2 linked regions of the Astyanax mexicanus genome follow. The protein of the gene in region 2 interacts with the protein of the main gene of each other region in a pairwise test. Links are inferred from orthologs where the notes say so. Each region holds a gene or a part of one and is shown on either strand. Other genes may lie near its edges.

Region 1 (7,836 bases), on a different chromosome or scaffold from region 2:
AATTATAGTTTTGTCAGAGGCCCCACTTTGCTTTGTTCAGTAGCAAACCTACCAATTTCTCTTTGTGCGTAAGACCCATCACTTAGTCTACACTGTTTTTTTTTTTCATAATTTACTATTCCCAGTAACACAGTGTCAGAACACATAACACAGTTCAAAGAAATAAAGAATCAATGCAGTGCTTTTGTGTACTTTAGTGAAGAGTAACTGCATTAACAAGAGCAAGCACTATTAACACTTAAAATCCAAAACCTACGTCTGGACATCGTCCACCCATGCTGAGAGCTCATGTGGAAAGTAGTCAGTTATTCCTGTACACTTCTTGACTACAATTTTAACTGTAATTAAACTTTTGATTCAATTCCACACAGCTATTTATTTAACAGTAAGACATTAAGCAATTAGCACGATGACTAAAAATATTTTTTATTTTTAATATATATTTTTTATATAAAATTATGGACGGATTGCGGACTGGGCATGTGCACACTAACAATTCCTTTAGATTTCCAAGAATTTCCAGACAGTCTGGATGAATTTCCCATCAAACTATCAAATTCTAGCTGTAATTGAGTTAAGATTTCTCACAGAAGCAGCTGTGCTGGTGTGTGTGTGTGTGTGTGTGTGTTGGTTGGTGTAAAATTATATGGGACAGTTGCTGTACTGGGCACACAGGTGTCTCACTTTAGACCAGCTGGCAGAGCAACACATCCTGTATATGTGTGTGTGTGTGTTTGGGAGAGGAGTGTGTGTGTGGGGGGTTGCTTTTTCCACACACCCCGCTGACTCAGCCAAACATTGCACCAACACTGAAAAACAGGGAAAGGAATTTCCCCCTCAAAACTCCACTCAAACCTCACCTGTGTGTTTGTGTGTGTTTGATAATTATAGTACACTCTGTTAAAACATATCTTCATCTACTAAAGTGAATCTGAAATGTGGATCGTTAGAGAATAATATGGTAGAGATGGGTAGAGTGAGGTTCAGTAGAGTGAGGTGGAGTGAGGTAGAATATGGTAAAGACAGGTAGAGTGAGGTTCAGTAGAGTGAGGATGAGTGAGGTAGCGTGAGGTGGAGCAAGGTAGAATATTGTAGAGACGGGTAGAGTGAGGTTCAGTAGAGAGAGGTGGAGTGAGGAAGTGTGAGGTGGAGCGAGGTAGACTATGTGAAGACGGGTTGAGTGAGGTTCAGTAGAGTGAGGTGGAGTGAGGTGGAGCGAGGTAGAATATGGTAGAGACGGGTAGAGTGAGGTAGAGTGAGGTATAGTGAGGTGGAGTGAGGTAGAATATGGTAAAGACGAGTAGAGTGAGGTTCAGCAGAGTGAGGTGGAGTGAGGTAGAATATGGTAGAGTCGTATAGAGCGAGGTTCAGTAGAGTGAGGTGGAGTGAGGTAGACTGAGGTGGAGTGAGATAGAATATGGTAGAGTGGGATAGAGCGAGGTGCAATAGAGTGAGGTGGAGTGAGGTAGAGTGAGGTGGAGCGAGGTAGAATATGGTATAGTCGGATAGAGCGAGGTTCAATAGAGTGAGATGGAGTGAGGTAGAGTGAGGTGGAGCGAGGTAGAATATGGTATAGTCGGATAGAGCGAGGTTCAATAGAGTGAGGTGGAGTGAGGTAGAGTGAGGTAGAGCGAGGAACATATTTTGGAGACCAGAATCAAACCCTCAAGTCTACCAGTTTTGTTATCCACTACCCTAACCAACCAACCAACCAACCAGTCTGTGTGTGTCTGTCTGTCTATCTATACGTATGTCTGATTACTGGCCTTTCTGCCTGTTTATATCAATTAGTCTGTCTACAGTACAAAGTACAAGAGTACAAAAAACTGGATCCAAACTTATCACTGATCACATTTATCAACAACACATGTAATTTAACCAGTGTTTTCAAACCTGTGCATAGTGCTGTGGAGTAATTAGTAGTAGTAATTAGCTGAGAATATAACTGCAGTTAACTGATATTAACTGATGTACTGAAGTGAAATCTAGTTTATATTTCTGTTATCTGTATTATACATTGATGCACTGATTTCTGTAATATCAGGATGTGAAATTTAAACCAGTCAGACAGCTAACAGTAAACCAGAACTTGGACCAACCCAGATGTTGGGTAGTAAAACGCTTCCTAAACGTTAAAACTGTCAAGGTTTCTGGATGTTCTTCGACAGTTTAGTTAAGGTCTTTAAAAGTAAAAAAAAAAGTTTAAAATTTAAAAAACACTAAAAAAACACTTCTTGGTGTTTTTGTATTTTTAGTGTTGGGACTGGGAGTGGTACTTTTAAGAATTTTCCATGATGTTACTGTTTGACTAACTCGTCACTGTGTGAGAAACGTTCAATAATAATGCATATTATTATGTCCCACTTTTTTTTTAGAATGTGCTGGAACATTGTTTCTAAAACATTGCTTAAAGTTCTTATAACAGGGAAAAATAGGAAAGTTTGATAAAAGCGTTTTAAGATTGAGCGTAGTAGGCTATATTTTCCTTTCAATTGAAAATCGCAATTCAAAATGATGTTTATTAGTCCAAGACTTGGCTAAATCCCTAATATCAGAGAAAAACATCCCTTAAGTGTACTAAAAGTTCACAGTGATAAGTGCTGAATAAAAAGAATTATCTCCAGTTCAAATATTGGTAGAAAAGTAAAAAGAAGTAGTGAGTATTTTACCAAAAAAACACAGAGCAGAGTATCACACTCAGCCTGCAGTTACCTGTAGCAGATCGGCTTCTTAACAGAGCTCTCCCACCTGGCAGCCCCTCAGGGTCCTCCTCCCTTTTCCCCTCAGCCATCAGATCCTCCAGCTCCAGTTCAGCAGAGTTTAAATAAATGAAAGTGTGATAGTTCTGAATGAGACTCACAGATTTACCAAGTTAAAACACCTCACTAACTTTCTGCTACTGTCTGAACAACAACTGTCCTCACACCTTCTCTCATAGTTACTGCAGTACTGCAGAGGAGGGATCAGATCAGCTCTGCTGTGCTGCCCTGTCCAAAACAGAGTGAGTGAGTGAGTGAGAGAGAGAGAGATAGAGAGAGAGAGAGAGAGAGAAAGAGGTGAACTACAGTGAGGGGCGTTTATGACATGTCCCACCAGAGGGCACCAATACACATGAGAAATCTCGCATAACGGATACACACGCCTACTACAAGACACGCCCACTACATGACACGCCCACTATAGCTTGAAGATATCAGGCACTATATACACTATATTAATATTGGAAATAGGTGCTTTGCTTAGGCCACAAATATTCATAAAACATCTTGACTGCTAATAATTGGACTTAGGTAACACTAATGGTATGATAAACATTGAGTTAAAAATGAAATGCTATAAATACTAGTAGCAGTTTAAACTGTAGTAGTTTAAAGTACAAGACAGCGTACATATTTTTACTGCTTAACAAAATTAAGGCAAAAGCGAGACAAACACATACAGCAATATACTTTCTAAAATAAAAAGCACATCCTGCTCAAGTGATAAGACACTATTTTTAACTTGTGTTTTTAAGTTAGATTTTTTTCTGTGTCGTCTGAAGTTTTATAAATATGATGACTGTTGAAAATATTTTTTATCATTAAAAATCATGTTTTGAAAGACACAGTATTATGTGTAACCACTCAAAAGAGTTTAAATACATATTCTGACTTATATATCTGTCACATATGAACATTAACAAAAAAAGAAACAGCTTAAAGCCATTTAAATGTTATTACATTTCTGTACATTTGTATAAGAAGACTATAGTGTGTGTGTGTGTGTGTTTTACTGTAGTAAGCAAATTGCTTTAGTGAGAAAATCATTGCCATTTAACTAGCTAGTTCAGTCAGTCAGAAGAAGGCCAACAAATTACTTAAATTGGTTAAATAAATAATTAATAATAATTAATTATTAAATAATTATTAATAATAAATAAACATTTTATTAAACTGTTTTAAATTACACGCATTATTCCTCTAAATAAGAGTTTGTGTGTCTTTCTCTTGCCTGCGGTTGTTCGGCTACAGCTAGCTAACTAGCTAGATTAGCATTAGCACTAGCTGAGTGTTAGTTTAGACCAGGGGTGTCAAACTCATTTTGGCCGAGGGCCACATTGGCATATTGGCTGTCCTCCGAGGGCCAGATGTAACTTATAAATGTAATAAAATGTAACCAAATGTAATATATGTAAATGAATGTAATTACTCCTTAATGTTAAATAACTCTCAATATATTATTTATTCAATCAAATATTACAGTTGCATGGAAAAAATGTTTGCTTGTTGCTCTATTAACATAAATCCTTTTAATTTGTCATGTCATGAAATCCAAAAACTCCACCAATCAAGAACCAAACTATTCAAGTGAATAGAAATGACATCAAGTTATATTAACTTTGAAATTATTAACTGAAATAAGGCTTAATAAATATAAAATCAAAAATTGTGAGCTGTTAAGAACATAGCATTTCCTCAGATTTAGCAGTTCCTCATCCAACCACTAGTGGGAGCTGCAGCAGCAGCACCACAAGTCCGCAGTCTTTACTGAGTCAGAGCTACAGCCCAGCCACGGGCTACAGGGCTCAGCTCAGCCAGTCTGGAGCGTTTTTAAAAATTTTAAGTTCTTCTGTGTATGAAATTACGGAGCCCGGGAGGGGCCGTGGATAAAAAAAAACAATTAAATCGAGTGAACGATGTAGCAGTTCGTGCTCACGTTTTCTTTAATTCGAGTGAACGATTTGCAATTCGTGCTCACGATTTCTTTAATTCGTGCTCACGATTTCTGTAATTCGTGCGCACGATTTCTGTAATTCGAGTGAACGATTTCTGTAATTCGTGCTCACGTTTTTATGCGCAATAAGACAAGAAGCTCGGAGGGAAAGGAGCATTTTCTCTCTTGATCTGTTACAGGGGTGCAGTAATGATAATCAGTTATCTACCTTTATAACCTGCTGTTATTAATGCACTAGTGTTACAGTTAGATGTACAGTACAGTGAGCAGATTTTGCCTGGTGGTGGAATCTCTACAGCGCGTGGGGGAGAGCCGTCCGCGGCATCGGTTCCCCCGCCGCCAGACACCTGCCGCGCGCGCAGGTCTTCACGGAGCTTATTTACCAACAATATAGACAAATATAGTCAATTCCAGTCATGATTAAAGGAAACAAACATTACTAATGCAGGATAACTGTGTGTTATTAAAACCAGATCAAAACAAAGTTATAATGCAATGTGGAACTGTTTATAATTTCTTATTTTCAACAATAGTATAACGTAAAGAAGTATAATTTTATAAATATACAGCTATAAGACTTAGGTCCAAATGTACACTGTAAAAGTTAATAAAGATAATACAAAATTAATGCAAGGTGTGACAGTTGTCTATGAATGGCTCATATAAGACTATATAAAATCAAAATAGCTGGTCTAAAATACTATTAATACAATGTATTAAGATATTTAGTAAATAGGCATTTCATATAATAATTTGGATCAATTTGATAATTTATTCCAATATGTTTCCTAAAATAATTAAGTTTCTATATCTGATGAAATGTCCTGAATATCTGCTTATTCTCAAATCACAGTGTCCTGCCCAGAAACATGCCACAAGCTTCAAATAAAAAAATATAATAATTATAAACTTCTTAAATGTATATTTTCTGAATTATGTGTTTATTTATTATACAAATTATTAAAATATAGATTAAATCTATCATAAAAGTAATAATGATGTAACCAGATTTAAGAAGGTGTGCATTTCCTTGGAGGCTGGCTGAATGTTATTTAGAAATTAATAAACACATTTGCACATTGCATTATAACTTTGTTTTGATCTGGTTTTAATAACACACAGTTGTCCTGCATCAGTAAAATGTTCGTTTCCTTTAATCATGACTGGAATTGACTGTATTTGTCTACATTGTTGGTAAATAAGCTCCGTGAAGACCTGCGCGCGCGGCAGGTGTCTGGCGGCGGGGGAACCGATGCCGCGGACGGCTCTCCCCCACGCGCTGTAGAGATTCCACCACCAGGCAAAATCTGCTCACTGTACTGTACATCTAACTGTAACACTAGTGCATTAATAACAGCAGGTTATAAAGGTAGATAACTGATTATCATTACTGCACCCCTGTAACAGATCAAGAGAGAAAATGCTCCTTTCCCTCCGAGCTTCTTGTCTTATTGCGCATAAAAACGTGAGCACGAATTACAGAAATCGTTCACTCGAATTACAGAAATCGTGCGCACGAATTACAGAAATCGTGAGCACGAATTAAAGAAATCGTGAGCACGAATTGCAAATCGTTCACTCGAATTAAAGAAAACGTGAGCACGAACTGCTACATCGTTCACTCGATTTAATTATTTTTTTATCCACGGCCCCTCCCGGGCTCCGTATGAAATAAAGATTTTTGTAACCGAATAATACAGCTCTCTACAGTTCATCTTTCAGCCCAATCAGCTAACAGCAGCCGTTTAGAGCATGAGTCACTGCTGGGATTACATTATAAACAGGTCAGTTATCGCGCTGCTAACCTCAGGATGTTTATAACTACGGAATTTAGTGGACACACCACGGCTGCAAGGTTAGACTGTTGAAGGCTACTGGAGACTATTAAAGGCTATTGGAGGTTATTGAAAGGGTTATTGAGGGCAGAAATCAGTAAAGGCTGGTTAGATAAGTTATTCACGTCCTCGTACTTTGCTGCGGTGAAACTGCGACTAGCGCTGTCCCAGTGATGTTTATTAACGTCATTAAAACAGATTTTGTCAGCTATTGTCTTATAAATATTTACACAGAACTTATATCTCTCCTAAAAAGCGTTTATTTTGGTCAGTAACACTCTTCGTAACACAAAAGGCATACCGGTCTTTCGCCTTGAAGCACAGCCGTCCGTCTGCATCAACTTCTCTTTTTCTGGACATTATGGGATAAACATTTATATGTCTCAATTCCACCCGCGAAGTTACACCTTCCCTCCGGCAGGGTTTCCACATCAATGACTACACTGCCGTGTAGTGGCAGTAAGCCGTAACTTTGCGGGTAATACAATCGACAAGCATTGTGGGAAATGTATTTTTTGGTCAAAGAACGCTTCTGACTTATTTATTATAGACACTAAGATCTTACAAGCTCTCGCGGGCCACATAAAAAGACGTGGCGGGCCACATTTGGCCCGCGGGCCTTGTGTTTGACACATGTGGTTTAGACATTTAGCCAACTTGCTAACTATTTGTTAAAGTATTTTTTTTAATATATAAATTCACTGTGTTTAATAAATACACATTATAATTACAGCCTACCTGGAGAACCTACCTGCTCATTTTTTTTATTTTTGTGTAAACTTTTTCCTTTTCCTCCTCAGTTTAAATCTTTAGTTTTCACCCTCCTCAGTTTCTCCCTCCTGCTTAACTGGAGCCTAAATTATCCAGCAGCTGTGACTGGAACTATTTAATTCATTTATATGTTTCAAATGAGAAATAATTAAAAAATTAAACATAATTATTTTAACAATGTTATTTATTAACAACAAAAATGTCACACACCAAAATATGATTTATTTATTTATTTATTTTATTTTTTTGCTCTATATCTTTGGGCGAAGGAAAACAGCCAATTACTGTGTGACAGACCACAGAATACATTAGCTACACAGTAAATTTACATGTACATATAGGTACTTATATAAGCACACCAGTTCTCTTTATTTTAAACTATATTGTTATAATCTAAAAAATATTGGCCTTTAGCCCCACCATCTACACTTTTATCTTTTATCGACCCCTCTGCTGAAATCTACCAGGGCACAACTGCGCCTTTCTTCCACCAGATGTAGCCATTGATTAACAATAG
Region 2 (7,651 bases):
TTAATTGCCTGTGACGATTAAGTCAAAATAATCATGATGTGTATGCCAAATGAAGAAGTGATCCTTCACCAAGACCTGATGTATCCACTCAGATCAGAACTGCAAAGTCTAATAACAGGGATTTTCCCTCTATTTTCTTAATTTTTCACTTTGCAAAAGCTAATTCACAAGCAAACTTGTGGATGGTCATCCAAGTGAAAATGTAGCTGGTTAATCATGCTATATGCATATTGCTAGGACTGTCATAATAATTCAAATATCGACTTATAGTACATTGTACATATATATTGGTGTATACGCTTGTATATAAATTATTGTGGGGATCCTAGCTAATCAACCTCGTGATAATATTTTGGAGCAATCTCTATTTACATAATTGACTTAAGTCAAGTGAAATTTCCATGGGAAGCATAAAACAGAATAATACATGAATTACTATTCTACTAGCTACAGGGTAAGCTAAGTCTAAGTTTGTATTTTGCATGTCAGAAGTTGTAAGCATAAACCAGCTGTTTAGTTCTGCACTCTGAATCTACAAGTACTTATATTTACTGTTAAACTATACCTGAACCCTTGTGAAAAATCACAAGTGTTGTGGATAAAATCCTGAGCCTGCGGCTGGTCTTCTTTACAAGAAGGTTAGCTACGTTTCTGACGTAAGATTGTAAAAAAGTGAAACAGACTGAAGCTCTGTGCTCCCTGGACAGTAGAATCTCTATTTCAGATAGTGCCGAGCACCCCATAAACCCTGCAGCTCTGCAACCTGAGAGCAGACTCTGGTAACAGAGAACAGACTCTGCTATACATCAGTTTCCTTTGTTTTTGCTTGTTCATTTGGAAGTAATTTGTTACTTGTTTCAAGCCATTTTAGCCTAACATCTTAATAATTAAAAAATCATAATAATACAACATATAGCTACTATAAACAAAATTAATATAGGTATCTGTAACTGGAGTTTTTACTAGTAAAAATAAACTACATACAAGAGAGAATAACACACCATGTACATCAATGGCAACATCTATTATAGTTATGTCATCCTGGTAATATATACTTACTCTCCTAACACCTCTAATACACTAACTACTTCTAACCCCATTTCCTTCTTCCCCTCCTTCACTTCTCTATCCCTTTATTTCCCTTCGACCTCCTTTAAGCCCTACCTAAAAATGGGTTATCTAAATTCCTATTACTTTGTACTTCATTATTGTAAGTCGCTTTGGACAAAAGCGTCTGCCAAATGAAATGTAATGTAATGTAATATCATTAGTCAGAATATCTGAACTCTGAAATTCTGAATTATGAATTTCTACTATCAAAACTAAGATAGTTTGTGGTTTGGTCATTCCCTAGTAAGTTAACTATATAGGAAATATTACATAGTAAATAGTAAATGACTATTTACTATTTACTAGAGGCTGTACATGTGACATAAGTATGTAAAGATGCATGACGTGGCCAGAAGAACTGCCTCAAAAAGCGACCCGACACACGTTTTTAGAATGAATATATTAGGCTTAGCAGGGATGGTCATTGCAGCCCACCGGTACCATTAAACACAATACTTTATCCCTTCTCCACTCAGAAATGTTTCTGTGTTCAATTTAGAAACTAAATACTACGAAGTTCCAGTTTCATATATTTACATCATACTAAAATGCATACATTTTCAATGGGCACATATGAAGCTGAAACAGGGGGCCTAGTGCATCCCAAGTTTATTTTAAGTACTTTTCCACTTTTACTTAAAGAGTAAAATGTTTGAGTTGATACTTCAACTTGTACAGAAATATTTTAAACACTAGTATCTATATTTCTACCTACAGAGTAATGCGTGTGGGGTAAATATCATATACACTCATGTAAGTGGAAAGCCATAACTCCCTCGTTCACACTGTTCATATGTCACTAGAACATTTTAAGAGATAACTAAAAAAACTAAAAAAAATGCATTCTATTATATCAAAGTCCTTGCTTTTTTAATTGTGTCAAACATGACTTTGCATTTTTGTGCCCAAAAGACTATTATTGCCTCCTTGTATGAGTAATGAGTGTGAATATTGTTCACACCTTTTTTTCTGTAGTGCACTAGGAAGTGAATCTTGTTAATTTGGAAGTCGCTCCTTATTGGCTTAACACTGATCACATGATTGACCACGTGGTCCTATCGAGAAAAAAATGGTATTAATGGTGGTCGTTTACAATACTATTTTTTTAGGTTAGTTAAGGTTAATTATTTTATAAATTTCATATATACTCATGTGCTCAATCAGGAATTGTGTAAAATAAAAAATAAACGAATTATAAAAGATATAAAAGAGAAGCTGGAACTTTTTAAACAGCATCGTGTGAGTCATCCATCAGTTGGGCTTCAAACTGCAGAGCCTGGATTAACTGGAAAATGCGCTCCTATAAACACAAAGCCACAGTTTCCAGTTAAAGTCTTTAACCCCAGTCCAGTTCAGCGCTCTGTAAAGCCTGTGTGTGGGGGGTTTTGTTAAGCCGGGCGCTATTCTGAATGGAAATCCCGGACGCTGCGCTGCTCTGCTCTGCGCGGGTCTCAGGCGGGGAGCTGTCGACAGCCGGGCGGCTCTATAATAATAACAGCAGCAGCAGCCCGTCCGGACAGCGCCGGACCGGACCCGGGGTTATAATCAGCTCCCTGCTGAGAGAAACAGGAGGAAAAAACGGACTTTTCTACTTACTTTTACCGGACTGACTGACCGCCGGGGCTGGAGAGGTTCCTTACTGTCTGTTCTCACCTGGCTCAGGTAAAGCAGCCTGCGCTGAACCCACTTCCGATTCACCTGACAAACCTGTTGCTGCCTAAACTCATGGTCTTAAAGGACCCGACTCACATTAAACTGCCCAAAAGCACAACTGTAGACAGGTGTTTTTCGCACACCGTAGGGCGAGAGGGTTCAGAGGGGTGTGAGAAAGGACTGTTTAGACTGTAGTTAAACACCGCGCTGTCAAACTTCAAGCACTTTAGATCAGGCGATCATTTGGACACATGAGGGAGAATGACGCTGAGTGAAACTCTCTCAGGACCCCTAGAGCTGTTTTTTTCCCCTTTTAATATTTTCTCTTTCTCTTTATGATCGTTGTTTGTTTCTAATTGTATTATAGTTGTAATAATATGATAATTATAATGATAATCATAAGATGACATTTTATACCAAATATGTGTTTACACTGATCTACATATCTACTGTTTTTTATTTCGCTGTTTGTTTGTTTTATTTATTTATTATAACTATGTGAAGAATGTTCTACAGTTGTTTCTGTTTGACATTGTTTGACAGATTTAAGTGCATAAAAGTAAGTCAATAGAAATAGTCTAAACAAAAATACAAATAGTATGTTTCTGTTCGAATCCCATTTTTAAATTCTTTTAAAATATTATATACATAAGATGAAATTGTATGCCAAATATTTGTTTAAATTGATCTACAAAACTATAAATACACTTTATTTATTAGAAATTTAGAAATGTTATAATTTTATTTTAGATTTAAAGCTTTTAAATTTTATTTGAATTCCAGTGTTAGCTTGTTTACTTTTTGTTGCTGTTTGTTTGTTTTATTTTAGTTTATTTTTATTCAATATACAATATATAAACATGTTCTAGAGTTGTTTCTGTTTGACTTTGTTTGATTGTTTAAGTGCATATGACTCAATAAAAAAGGGTAAATAAATACAAATTGTATGTATTTGTTCAGTCTCATTTTTAAAATGCTTTAAAAAGTTATACTATTGTAGTAGCATATAGAGTTATAGTAGTTTAGTAGTTTTTGGATGGCTGAGGTGTTTAAGTCTGTTTTCCTGGCTAACCCTAATTTACAAGTTATGTTCACAAGGATGTTCTATGTGTTCATATCATAGACTGTGGGTATAAGAGGCTGTCTATAGTTCAATAGCTACTGTAAAGGTGTGTTTAGTGTATGTCAGTTATGAACAGTTACAAAGTAAATATAATTTGTTACGCAAATCTATATTTTTTTTTTTTTCAATTTTGCTTGATTCTATCCACAAGATTTCAGAGTCTCATATCAACACCTTCCTAAAAGAATCAACCATTTTTTTTCAGTGGCAATATGGCAGTTGTTTTATTTTATTTAAAATAAGTAATGGATTAAGAGGATAATTTTTTATACAGTCAAGCAGTAGAACCGACCAGAAAAAAATCCTGATTCAAATTGTTTTAACAGTTGCAAATTGTAGATCATCTTCAAACTAGCTTTATGGACTTATGCTGCCTTCAGGTCGTGTCAGTAATATTGTATTTACGAGATGAGAGCACATGAATTTAATTTGAGATAAGCCCTGAATTTCCCAGTTGGGGGCATGTCAGTAACAAGAAGTCAGAATCAGAATCAGAATCACTTTATTTCGCCAAGTATGTTACATATACAAGGAATTTGTCTTGGTGAGAGCAACACGTGTATGACACATAACAAATACAGAGACTATAGACAAACATCACACTACAAAAGAATGAACAATAAACAATAAATAGAATAAGAATAGAGTTAAAAGTTCTACAGAAATAAAGAGCACTGAAGAGTGATAGGAGCTAAGAGCTAAATAAAATAAAATAAAATCTGTACTGTACACATATGAATATATTATTAGAACCGAATGTTTCTGAGGTAGGTTTATCTTAAATATTGCTTAGGAAGTTACAGAGGAACATCTGTATAGCTGTGCAAATAAGCAAAGTGCAAGTGAGCAGATTGTAAATCCAGTCAGTTGTGAATACAGTTCAGTGAGTGAGATGTTTGGAGACTCAGATGTGTCCACTGTGGTTAAGGAGTGCTACAGCTCTGGGAAAGAAGCTGTTTGCGTGTCGTGTTGTGCTGGTTTTGATTGTTCGAAGCCTTCTACCAGAGGGGAGAGTCTGGAAGATGTGATGTCCAGGATGTGAGGGGGCAGTCATGATTTTGCCAGCACGCTTCCTCATCCTGCTGGTGTAGATTTCCTGAAGTGTTGGCAGGTTACATCCAATGATCCTCTCTGCTGACTTGATGACGCGCTGGAGTTTTGCTCGTTCATGTGAGGTGGAGGAGCCAAACCAGATGATTATGGAAGAGGTGAGGATGGACTCGATGATCGCTGTGTAGAACTGGACCATCAAGGTCTGTGGGAGGTCAAATTTTCTTAGCTGTCTCAAGAAGAACAATCTTTGTTGAGCTTTCTTGATGATGGAGATGATGTTCCTTTCCCACTTCAGGTTCCTAGATATGGTGGTGCCCAGGAACTTGAGTGACTCCACAGTGGACACTGCTGAGCCATTGATGTAGAGAGGGGGTACGGGTGGTGGGTTGCGTCGGAAATCCACCACCATCTCTACAGTCTTTTCTGTGTTAAGCAGCAGGTGGAAGTTGCTGCACCAAGACACCAGCTGCTGGACCTCCTTTCTGTAAGCAGACTCATCACCGTTGGTTATGAGACCTACTAGAGTGGAATCATCTGCAAACTTCAGAAGCTTTACAGCTGGTTCCTTGGAGACACAGTCGTTGGTGTAGAGGCTGAAGAGAAGAGGTGAGAGAACACACCCTTGTGGAACTCCAGTGCTGAGTGTTCGTAGGTCTGAAGTTTGTTTCCCCATCCGCACCTGCTGTTTTCTGTCTGTCAGGAAATCCACAATCCACTGACACATGGAGTCTGGCACTGACAGCTGGGACAGTTTGCTTTGAAGTATCTGCGGCACAACAGTGTTGAAAGCCGAGCTAAAGTCCACAAACAGAACCCTGGCGTAGGTTCCAGGGCTGTCCAGATGCTGCAGGATAAAGTGCAGGGTCAAGTTGACTACGTCCTCGACAGACCTGTTTGCTCTGTATGCAAACTGCAGCGGGTCCAGCAGAGGTTCTGTTATGGTCTTAAGGTGGGCTAGGACCAGGTGTTCAAAGACCTTCATGACTACAGAGGTCAGGGCAACCGGTCTGTAATCATTAAGTCCAGTGATGTTGGGTTTTTTGGGGACTGGAATGATGGTGGAGGTCTTGAAACAGGCTGGAACGCAGCAGAGCTCCAGTGATTTGTTAAAGATACTGGTGAAAATTGGTGCTAGTTGTTCACAGCAGTGTTTTAGGGTGGATGGAGAGATTGAGTCAGGCCCCGGAGCTTTCCTCACCTTCTGCCTGCTGAAGAGCCTGTGGACGTCCTGCACATTGATGGAGAGACGAGCAGGGGGTGGAGGTGAGAGAGTCAGCGTGGGGGAGGAGGGGAGGTGATGATGATGGGGGGAGGCAGTTTGCTGAGTGACTTTTGGGAGTTCAAATCTGCAGTAGAACTCATTCAGGTCGTTGGTGAGCTGTCGGTCGTTCAGGAGGAGGGGGGTCTTTCTCACTTTGTACTCAGTGAGAAGTTGAAGACTGTTCCAGGCTGAAGATGGGTCATTGGCAGTGATATGGCTATTCAGCTGCTTCGAGTACACTCTCTTAGCTGCCTTGATCCCTTTCTCCAGTTTGTACTTGGCCTTTTTGTAGACAGTTCTGTCTCCACTCCTGAAAGCTGCCTCTTTCTCCCTCCGAAGCTGTTTGAGCTCAGCAGTAAACCAGGGTTTGCTGTTGCTGTATTTAACACGTGATCTGGTTGAAATACAGCTGTCTTCACAGAAACTTATGTATGACGTCAGTGTCTGTGTATTCGTCCAGTCCGTCTGTCGCCTCCTCAAATACAGCCCAGTCTGTGGATTCGAAGCAGCCCCGCAGCTTCTCAATGTCTCCACTGGTCCACCTCTTCACTGTTGTAACGACCGGCTTGTTGGATTTGAGTTTCTGCCGGTACGTGGGAATGAGGTGAACGAGGCTGTGATCGGAAAGTCCGAGAGCTGCGCGCGTGACAGCGCGATAGGCGTTTTTAATGCTTGTATAGCATTTATCCAGTGTGTTGCGTTCTCGTGTAGCGCATACGATGTGTTGTCTGTATTTGGGCATCTCCTTAGTGAGGTTTGCGCTGTTAAAATATTTAGTCAAAGTCAATGAATGAATCACATTTATTTAAATTGATAAATAAATTCTTTTTTTTTTTCTAGTGTGGATGTACTTTTTTTTTCAGATCTTTTCTTGACCTCCACAGTTCCCCTGAACTGCTATTTTCTTAATAACATTCTGCTCATATTTATATTAGACATGATGGACTGATTCAAAACATTGGAAATTCTTATTGTACCATTAGCAGGAATAATTTAATAAATAGATTAGTGCTGTCAATGTTGACACATTCAATTAATCTGGAAAAATTAACACTTTAATTTATGTAGCATCAGCTAACATTCCTGCAAAGCAACATTTATTAATGAAAACAGACATGGAGATTGCACCAAAATGCACCTTTTAGCATGTTCGGTGCAGTTACACATTCTCTCCAAAAAGGAGAATCTTTATTGTTTGATGCCCGTTTTCTCAGATTCAGTTATCAATATGAAATACGACAAACTCAGTAAACAAAGAAGATCCAGGTCCTCAAATGCCCCAGACTTGTTGAACCAAGGAAAAGGGCAATAGAGTCCAATTCCCACTGTGTTGTATTAATATTCAGGATAATCAGCACATTGTTCGTTGCATTAGAAGGTCTTTGTGTTCAAATATCATGACCTAAATAAGACATTTCTAAATATAAAAATATTTTTTTCAGCCTGTACGT

Evidence for each region.
Region 1: the proteins of sh3yl1 (region 2) and sh3d19 interact in binary tests that used the Homo sapiens proteins (3 or more experiments, as listed by UniProt). The link is inferred for Astyanax mexicanus from reciprocal best matches to the Homo sapiens genes SH3YL1 and SH3D19.

The regions. Positions count from the first base shown.
Region 1 is NC_064432.1:20,714,232-20,722,067, reverse strand, and holds the start of sh3d19 (SH3 domain-containing protein 19), read right to left. Parts: upstream 3,002-7,836; 5' UTR 2,792-3,001; coding exon 2,713-2,791; intron 1-2,712. UniProt on the Homo sapiens protein: May play a role in regulating A disintegrin and metalloproteases (ADAMs) in the signaling of EGFR-ligand shedding. May be involved in suppression of Ras-induced cellular transformation and Ras-mediated activation of ELK1.
Region 2 is NC_064421.1:28,973,299-28,980,949, forward strand, and holds the start of sh3yl1 (SH3 domain-containing YSC84-like protein 1), read right to left. Parts: upstream 3,015-7,651; 5' UTR 2,708-3,014; coding exon 2,707-2,707; intron 1-2,706.